Linked DNA regions of Nothobranchius furzeri. The protein of the gene in region 1 purifies or fractionates together with the protein of each later gene. This does not show direct contact. Links are inferred from orthologs where the notes say so. Each region holds a gene or a part of one and is shown on either strand. Other genes may lie near its edges.

The links. Proteins that work in one complex are often made in the same cells at the same time.
Region 2: the proteins of kpna3 (region 1) and kif22 purify together in Homo sapiens (affinity purification with mass spectrometry; 3 studies listed by BioGRID and IntAct, counting the BioPlex papers as one, with this or other methods). This does not show direct contact. The link is inferred for Nothobranchius furzeri from reciprocal best matches to the Homo sapiens genes KPNA3 and KIF22.

What each region holds. Positions count from the first base shown.
Region 1 is NC_091754.1:26,747,716-26,751,468, reverse strand, and holds the start of kpna3 (importin subunit alpha-4), read left to right. Parts: upstream 1-945; 5' UTR 946-1,077; coding exon 1,078-1,146; intron 1,147-3,590; coding exon 3,591-3,635; intron 3,636-3,753. UniProt on the Homo sapiens protein: Functions in nuclear protein import as an adapter protein for nuclear receptor KPNB1. Binds specifically and directly to substrates containing either a simple or bipartite NLS motif.
Region 2 is NC_091756.1:34,663,497-34,667,249, reverse strand, and holds the start of kif22 (kinesin-like protein KIF22), read right to left. Parts: upstream 2,359-3,753; 5' UTR 2,234-2,358; intron 1,986-2,233; 5' UTR 1,968-1,985; coding exon 1,780-1,967; intron 1,705-1,779; coding exon 1,577-1,704; intron 1,501-1,576; coding exon 1,349-1,500; intron 1-1,348. Other genes in the region: pagr1 (PAXIP1-associated glutamate-rich protein 1), read left to right, coding at 3,093-3,264. UniProt on the Homo sapiens protein: Kinesin family member that is involved in spindle formation and the movements of chromosomes during mitosis and meiosis. Binds to microtubules and to DNA. Plays a role in congression of laterally attached chromosomes in NDC80-depleted cells.

The DNA of each region.
Region 1 (3,753 bases):
GTTTTCAAATTGATGAAATAAAAAAAAAGATTACAATATTTTAGGGGTTTTATTGAATCTTTACAGTATGCTCTAATGGGAAACAGGCTTCAACACAAATGGTTGTTTTCCGCTTGGTCCTAGAGCTCAACCAGTGTCAATTTAATACAGCGTAATATTGTTTTTGGAAGGTAAAAAGTGCAGGGGTCAAAACTTGACTTTGGAAAAAGTAGGGGGGACATGTCTCCCTGTCCCCCCCCCACTCCCCCCGCCAAAATTACCTCCATGTGTTTGATGCCTTTCTAATTTCTGACAATTAATTGTTTTTTTGTGTGTTTGTGGAAGCGTTGTTTCCAGCTGTTCTCTCTCCTTGACCAGGGCAGCTGTAAAATATATTTTAAAAGTCTGCAATCCAATCACAGTTGTCCTTTTCCACAACCTGAGTGCCAGGGCGATGTGGCCTAAAATCAATATCACGATACTTCGAGGATTTTACCTCGATACCGATAAATGGACGATAATTACAGGTATGTACAGAAACAAAAGTTGTCCACTAGATGGGGCTTTCACTTGTATGACGTTGAGTCAAATTTTTACGTGACTCAAAGGGACATGAATGTTGCCAACTTACACACATCTTTTCATTTTTTTACTATCAAATTTTTAACATGGGAAAAATGATCTCGATAAGAGTCAGAATTTTTGATAATGATACATTTTCGATTTGTTGCCCAGCACTACTCATGCATAATGTAACAAACTGATTGCTGAACCCTTTTCTTTTGGATTTCCTAATAAGAGAGAAGTATCCACTGTCATGTAGAACGTAGAAGGGTGCACACTTTCCAAAAAGCTACCAAACGACTTTTTATTGTAATAAAGATTTATTAGGCACCATGGCATCAATTTCCAGTTCATCTGCTTGCTTTGATCTCAGGTGTTGGAAACCAGGACAGCCGATGTAACTCCTCCCCCCACTCTGCGATCTCCTCCTCCTCTCCGGAGCCAGCCCAGCCGCAGCAGCACAGGAGCTGCCGTGCCTCGTCTTTCACGGAGGAGATACAGACAGCCGGAGTAAAATCCAAACCCCGTACAGCCATGGCAGACAACGCCGGCTTGGAAAACCACCGCATCAAGAGCTTTAAAAATAAGGGACGTGATGTCGAGGTGAGCTCTTTTTGAGGATATGCGTTTAAATGTCTTTAATCTTAATATTTTAATGTAGATGGGAAAAGCCGACTACCGTCAGGCCTTGCTTGGTAGCCTGGCCCCGGCTGAAACTTCCCAGCCTGCCTGTTAGCTAAGCTACCACAGGGTGGTCGCCATCAAAGATTTCATTACATGAAAATTAAACTCTTAAAGACGACAGCTGTGATGGACTTCAGCGTGGATAAGTCATAAACCTCAGCAACCACTGTGACTGAAAGCTGGATCATAGTTGGGCTTTTAGAACTATGAGAATTAGGGCAGGCGATGTAGCTGTCAGTGCCGGTGTTTTAACGAAAAAGGTACCCCTGCCATTAAAAGCACACTAGTCGGAAATGCGTTATAAATTAAACCATGGTTTGTTTTACTTAACTAAATTAACCACGTTTTCTCCACATATAAGTCAAGTATCGTTTATTCTGTAAAGCTATGCAGTTAATTAGATTGTAATGATGTATTCGCAGTAGTTATGTTGAGGTAGGCTGCTAGGATGCAGTTTTTTTTTTACCCTGGAAGTCTTCGAAATCATGCATCATAATGTACATTGTTTTTTTCCCCCTATAATGTACGTTTAAAAAAATCTTGGCCATAAATAGACGTTACCCAGTGACTAAAGCAACTTATCTCGTTTCTGAACGTTAAGAATATTACAAATTTAGGTCTAAATGTAACGATAATTTAAGTAATCCTAACAAGCTGTCCTTAAATACGCTTCCCATGATGGGTTTCTTTGGCGACTGGTGTACTTTTTTCGACACGACACTAGCTAACTTTAGCTAGCTAGTTTGATGGACACCGGTCTCAAGCGAGGCGGGGCCTACCCGGCTTCAAAATCGCGATATTTCCAATCTTTTTATGCCACCCCACTGTAAACAAAAATGCTAACCAAAGAACGTCACATATAATCAATATTATATGGACAAGTGTGATTTGGGTGGATCGGTGACGGGTGCTCGTTTACCCTAGCCACCCCTCCTCGTTAGCATGCAAACGCGAGCCTGCCAACCGAGCAGCTAGTGTTGTGTCTATCTGTTTTTCTTTAAATATTTGTATTTTCAGTCACCATTAAATTAGGTGACTTTCCTCACAAAAGCAAAGGATAACAAGCTAGCCATTCTGTTAACTATAACCTGTAGTAAAAGGTTATGTCGAATCACAAATGCCCTAACTCAGCATTTCTGTAAAAATTTAAATGTAGTTTACCGTTTTATTGTAAGTCACATTCTAGAAAACACTAGATTTATTTTGTGTACCTACTAGCATATCTAAAATGCTGCATCTTTCACTGAATTTGTCTAAATTGCTCATTGACACTGTAGCCAAAGCAGTTGGTAAAGGATTTGTTTCAAGTTTAAACAAACAAAAAATAGCAAATCTATCATTTCTGGGTTAAAAAATGTTCAAATCAAATGACTAATCTACTCTGGACTTGTTCAAATTATCTGTGAAATGTAAACAATTTTCTTTTAGGGCATTTCTCTCAGCCACAGGGGGGATTACTAACAAAAACATACTTGTTTTAGTGTTGTTCTAATTTATCGGTAATCCCAAGATAATCCACAAACAAAGGTATGTCTGAGAATGCCCTTTCCAAATTCACCAGACGGGAGTTTCACCATCAGAGTGGTGCCTGTATTGGTTGTTTTGAAACTGGAAGTGTGTGTTCGACAAGCACATGGCTACTGGGATCGAGCCTCTGCCAAAGTGCATTCCTGATGCTATTTCAGGCATCTTGGAAGTCTGACCCAGTCCTTCTCAGAACCTCGGCATGAAATTGGGTTTTTGAAAGTGGGTGACTCAGACTACAGCAAATTTGTTTTAGGTCAGCTGCAAAAGAGTGCATTTCATTTTTAACACCTATTGAACTGAATGAGGTCCCACACCCAGACTTAGTATCTTAGTTTTGAATATTGAAAAAGTATTCCATTAATTAGAGTTTTGAAATCTTTTGCTCGACAGATGAAATGTGAGCATTGCTGAAATCATGTGATAATTCACATCTGTATTTAAGAAGCAGTTTAGTTCGGATCAGTACCCCTGGCATTATCATTGTTTTGCAGTGGTCTGGAGCCGCTTCTCTGTTATGACAGCCCAAAGTTACGTAAGAGGCTATTTAGGATGGCAACATGAACCTCTTTAACAGTCACAAGATCTTAGACCATCTCAAAATGCTCTGGATGAGCGAGAAACCCAACAGATGCACTTATACAGCAAAACTATTAAACAGTTTCTCATCACCTGGACTAAAATGAGTTGATTTTCACCTCAAACACAAAGATACGGTCATTTATTGTAACATGTTACATTTTTATCTCTTGTTGTTTTGTAAGACTTCCATCACACTTAAATGCCAGTGTGAAACTATATAATCTTGTTCACATTCTTTGTATTTTCTCCCGTTTCAGACTATGAGAAGACATCGAAACGAAGTGACAGTTGAGTTGAGAAAGGTGAGAAAAGATTCACACGACAGTATTCAGGAACACACAAGCAAATGCACGCACATAATCTGTCCGCGTAAGGCCGATCTGTTTCTGACTCTGGAACAGCAAAGAACGCACATCAGTT
Region 2 (3,753 bases), on another chromosome or scaffold:
ACTCAGGACGCAGATGTCTGGAGCACGTCAACAATCAGAGCTTTGCATGCGCAAGCTAGTTAAGGGTAGGATGGGGGTGAGGGGAATGTTAAATTGCAAGAGGGTAAAGGTCACAATTTGGTTAAATGTCCGTTTTACGGCGGGTGTCAGTACCGACGCTCTGGCACAGTGCGTCGCCTCCCGACACGCAGGAGCTTGTCACCTGCTGACAGCAGGCTGCTGTCTTTTCCGTGGACTACATCTTGCCGGTCATTATCACGTGACAGCGACTAGTCGATGACAGGCATAAAAAGTCACTATAGTGAAGTCGACTAGTGACTAGTTCATACAACCCCTGCTACTGCTCCCCAGAGTGTTCTGCAGTATAATCAGCACGTTCTCTTTGAACTTGATATCAAATTTTCGCCTCCTCTTCGTCTCCGCACCGTTAAAGTTACCCTCGCAGTCTATCACTGGCAAATCAAAAGTGAGACGATGACACAACCGCGCCCCCCCCCCCCCCCTCGTGGTACTTGCTTGTTACCACATTTCACCTGGCCACAATAAAAAACCGACCATTATTCACCTCCGCCAACTCAGACACCGGCCAAAATGTGATACCCGGCAGTTAACTGAATACAGGCCAATATTAGAGGATTTACGGTACTCTGTTTTTCCACAGAAAAACACATTTGTCCCGTCAACACAAGTTTAAACTAAATCCAAAGGAAATTCAGATTTCCCAGCTTCCACCCAGTATTCAAATGCACCATACACACACAAATCAGTCAGGTGAGAAAAGAGTCTCAAAAGGATTGTTGTACTTGTAAACTGATCTGTGTGTAATGTCATTTTGTCTGAGTGTACCAGGTGGTTTATGTGTGTAATTAAAGATTTTAGGGGTGTAACGGTGCGGTAACGATAAAATAGTATTCAGTTCGGTGTTTTGAAGAGCTTGGTTTGATTCATTTTTGGTATATTATTATATTTATTTATTCTAAAGCGGCTCCTACAGTGAGCAGAACCAGGTGTCATCACAGGCTGCTGATCTAGCATGATGTCTTCAATTATTTTCACAGGTTATTTGCGCATGAGTCTAGAATATTGAACCTTTTCACAATATTCTAATAGTCTGAGATTTTGAATGTGGGGTTTCATTAAGCTGTAAGCCATAATCATCAGTTATAACAAGGGCTTGAAATATCTGGCTTTGCATGTAATTAAGTTTTTTTTAATGTATTAGTTTCACCTTTAATCTGCTTTTGCATCATATTCTAATATTTTGAGCTTCATCTGTACAGTGATTCCCAACCTGAGGAGACTGGAGACCACTGTGCATACAGTAATGATGTAACCGGGACAAACAAACCTTTTCATTATAAATTTCCAAATATGACATTCCTACGCTGTAGTCCCATCCTTCATCCTGATCCGTGGCTCGGACCAGATTAAAGACCTCCTCAACAGCTAGAGGGATCACGCCAGGCTGCTCTGGACTTCCCAACATGGTGTGAGTCTTACCTGTGAATGAAGCCATGCAGGTTAATGTTAGGAAGAAAAACACACTTATTCCAGTGACAATGGCACCAGAACACACCAGCTCCTGTTGGCCCATAAGCAAACACGCTGGCGTTTTGTCCTTTCAGTATATTTGGTAGAATCGACTTCACTGATGAGAGGAAAACCTCTTCCTGTGTTGTGTCCTCTCCGTGGAAAACATCGAAGCTGGAACAAAAACCAAACCATGTTTAGAGTCAAATGTCGTGAGGAGAGGAGGACACTTGGGAGAGTGATACTGACTGGTATTTCACAGTTTCTGTTGCATTCCTCCAGTTGACTATCTCCAGGTTCTGGGAGTCCAGGCCTCTGACACACGGACCCTCGTGTTTATCATCTTGTTTGCTCATGTAAGGCCGCAGACGAACCGCTACCCGAACCCGGGAGGTCTTCTTGTTTCCACCATCTGCTACCAACACACGCTGCGCCATCTTCACACAAACAAAGGCCTGGATAACGAAAAAGCCAGAGTGATGTTCATCCACTTTATCAAACTCTATGCCACGCGAATATTTAGTATAATACACACCAGTAAATGCATGAACAGAGCATAAATGGAGTATTTGAAGGTAAGCTCTAGGTTTTCATCATTGCGTCACGAGAAGCAAACACACGAAAGGAGGTAATGTTGTTTCCAAACTAATGTTTCCTCGAAATCTGCCACTCCGCTTTTTTAAGTTTATTGGGGAAAGCTTACCGTTAAAAACGTCTTCCAAAAAACGCGTTTTTATCGTCCAAACATTCCCAGCTTCTCCTTTTAACAATGGCGATGGGCCAAAACTTCTAACTGAAAAAATTTTAAACGAAAAGACTGAGACCGGAAATGGGTTTTAACCAATCAGAGCTCGCGTGAACGCTGGCGCCTTTCAGCGATCTCATTAAGCGCTAAATAATTCATAAAACATAATTGTAGTTTTGTTGTATTTAATAGTATATTTTAAAAACTAGTATATTGAGTAAAAGTTAAATTAAAGAGGTTTTACTTTTCCCCTCCAAACAATACGAGTCGTTTAGCCACGGCACAGCTAACAGGAAGTTACGTTTAGCGTAGATTTCCACTTCATCTCCTTTCACATTTTAGACAGTAGAAGCCCTGGAATGACTTAGCCATACGCATTTAAATCAGCGGGATTTGGAGCCCGGTTAAACGCGACAACATCGTCAAGCAACCTATTCAGCCAAAATGGCGCTATGTTTATGTCCATGTTGAATCTTTTAATGCACTTAGCTAGCCTCATGGAGAGCTATGATGATCCCATCACTTGGGAATTACTTTAAAATCAAATTTTAACGTGACCAACGCTGACTCACGACAAATCGGTAATAACAATGAAGGATTTCCTTTATTTCTGCGGTGCGGTTTGACGTTAGCTAGCCCAGTAGGAATAAAACAAATAAACCTAAATATTCTCAAATTGCTTATTACGCTTTAGTAACAGGCGTAACTTGACTCGTTACCCGTGTAAATAATAACTGCCATTATCTCCCATTGCTAATTATTATCAAACATGCTGCTGTTTCGCAGATCCTATTAAAGTTGTCCAGCAGCAGGTAGGATGCAGACTGAAGTCACCAACTCTTCTCTTAGAGAGGGTGTTGAGGCTCTAGGTGTGAATGATCCAGAGAAATCTGCTGCAGACCAGGAGGAAGGCGGCCTAGAGAAGCAACAGGACTCAGAGATGACAGCTGTCACAGAGGAGAAAGACACCACTGCAAAGGATGACACAGGTAACTCCCTTAAAGGATAAATAACTTTGTAAACTCTTGGAGTCAGAAATCCGTCTGATTAGCACCAGATGTGGCCAAAAGCAATCACTCAAAGGCTGTATCAGTAAATAACAAGCCACATAAAGAATAGGGCTGCTCAATTGTGAATAATAATCAGAAATATTGTGTTTTTGGTCAATATTTAATTCCCAAGTATTTAACTAGATTACTTCTTCAGTTAGGACACACTTGTATTTATCATTTGCAGTTATAAAAAAAATACACCAAAAAAAGTCAAATGATGCCACAAACACACTTGACACACCAGACCTTGTAAAATGATCTGTGTTCACTTTACTCAAATTCTCCTTACTTCTATGTTTTGAACGAACGAACTTTTGAAATAAATACTCAAAACCATAACTCGTAATAGCAGAGCAATCATGTGATGCTTAAAATAGCTAGAGTTCACATTTTAAGACAAGTGCAGATACAGGATTACACCAGCAG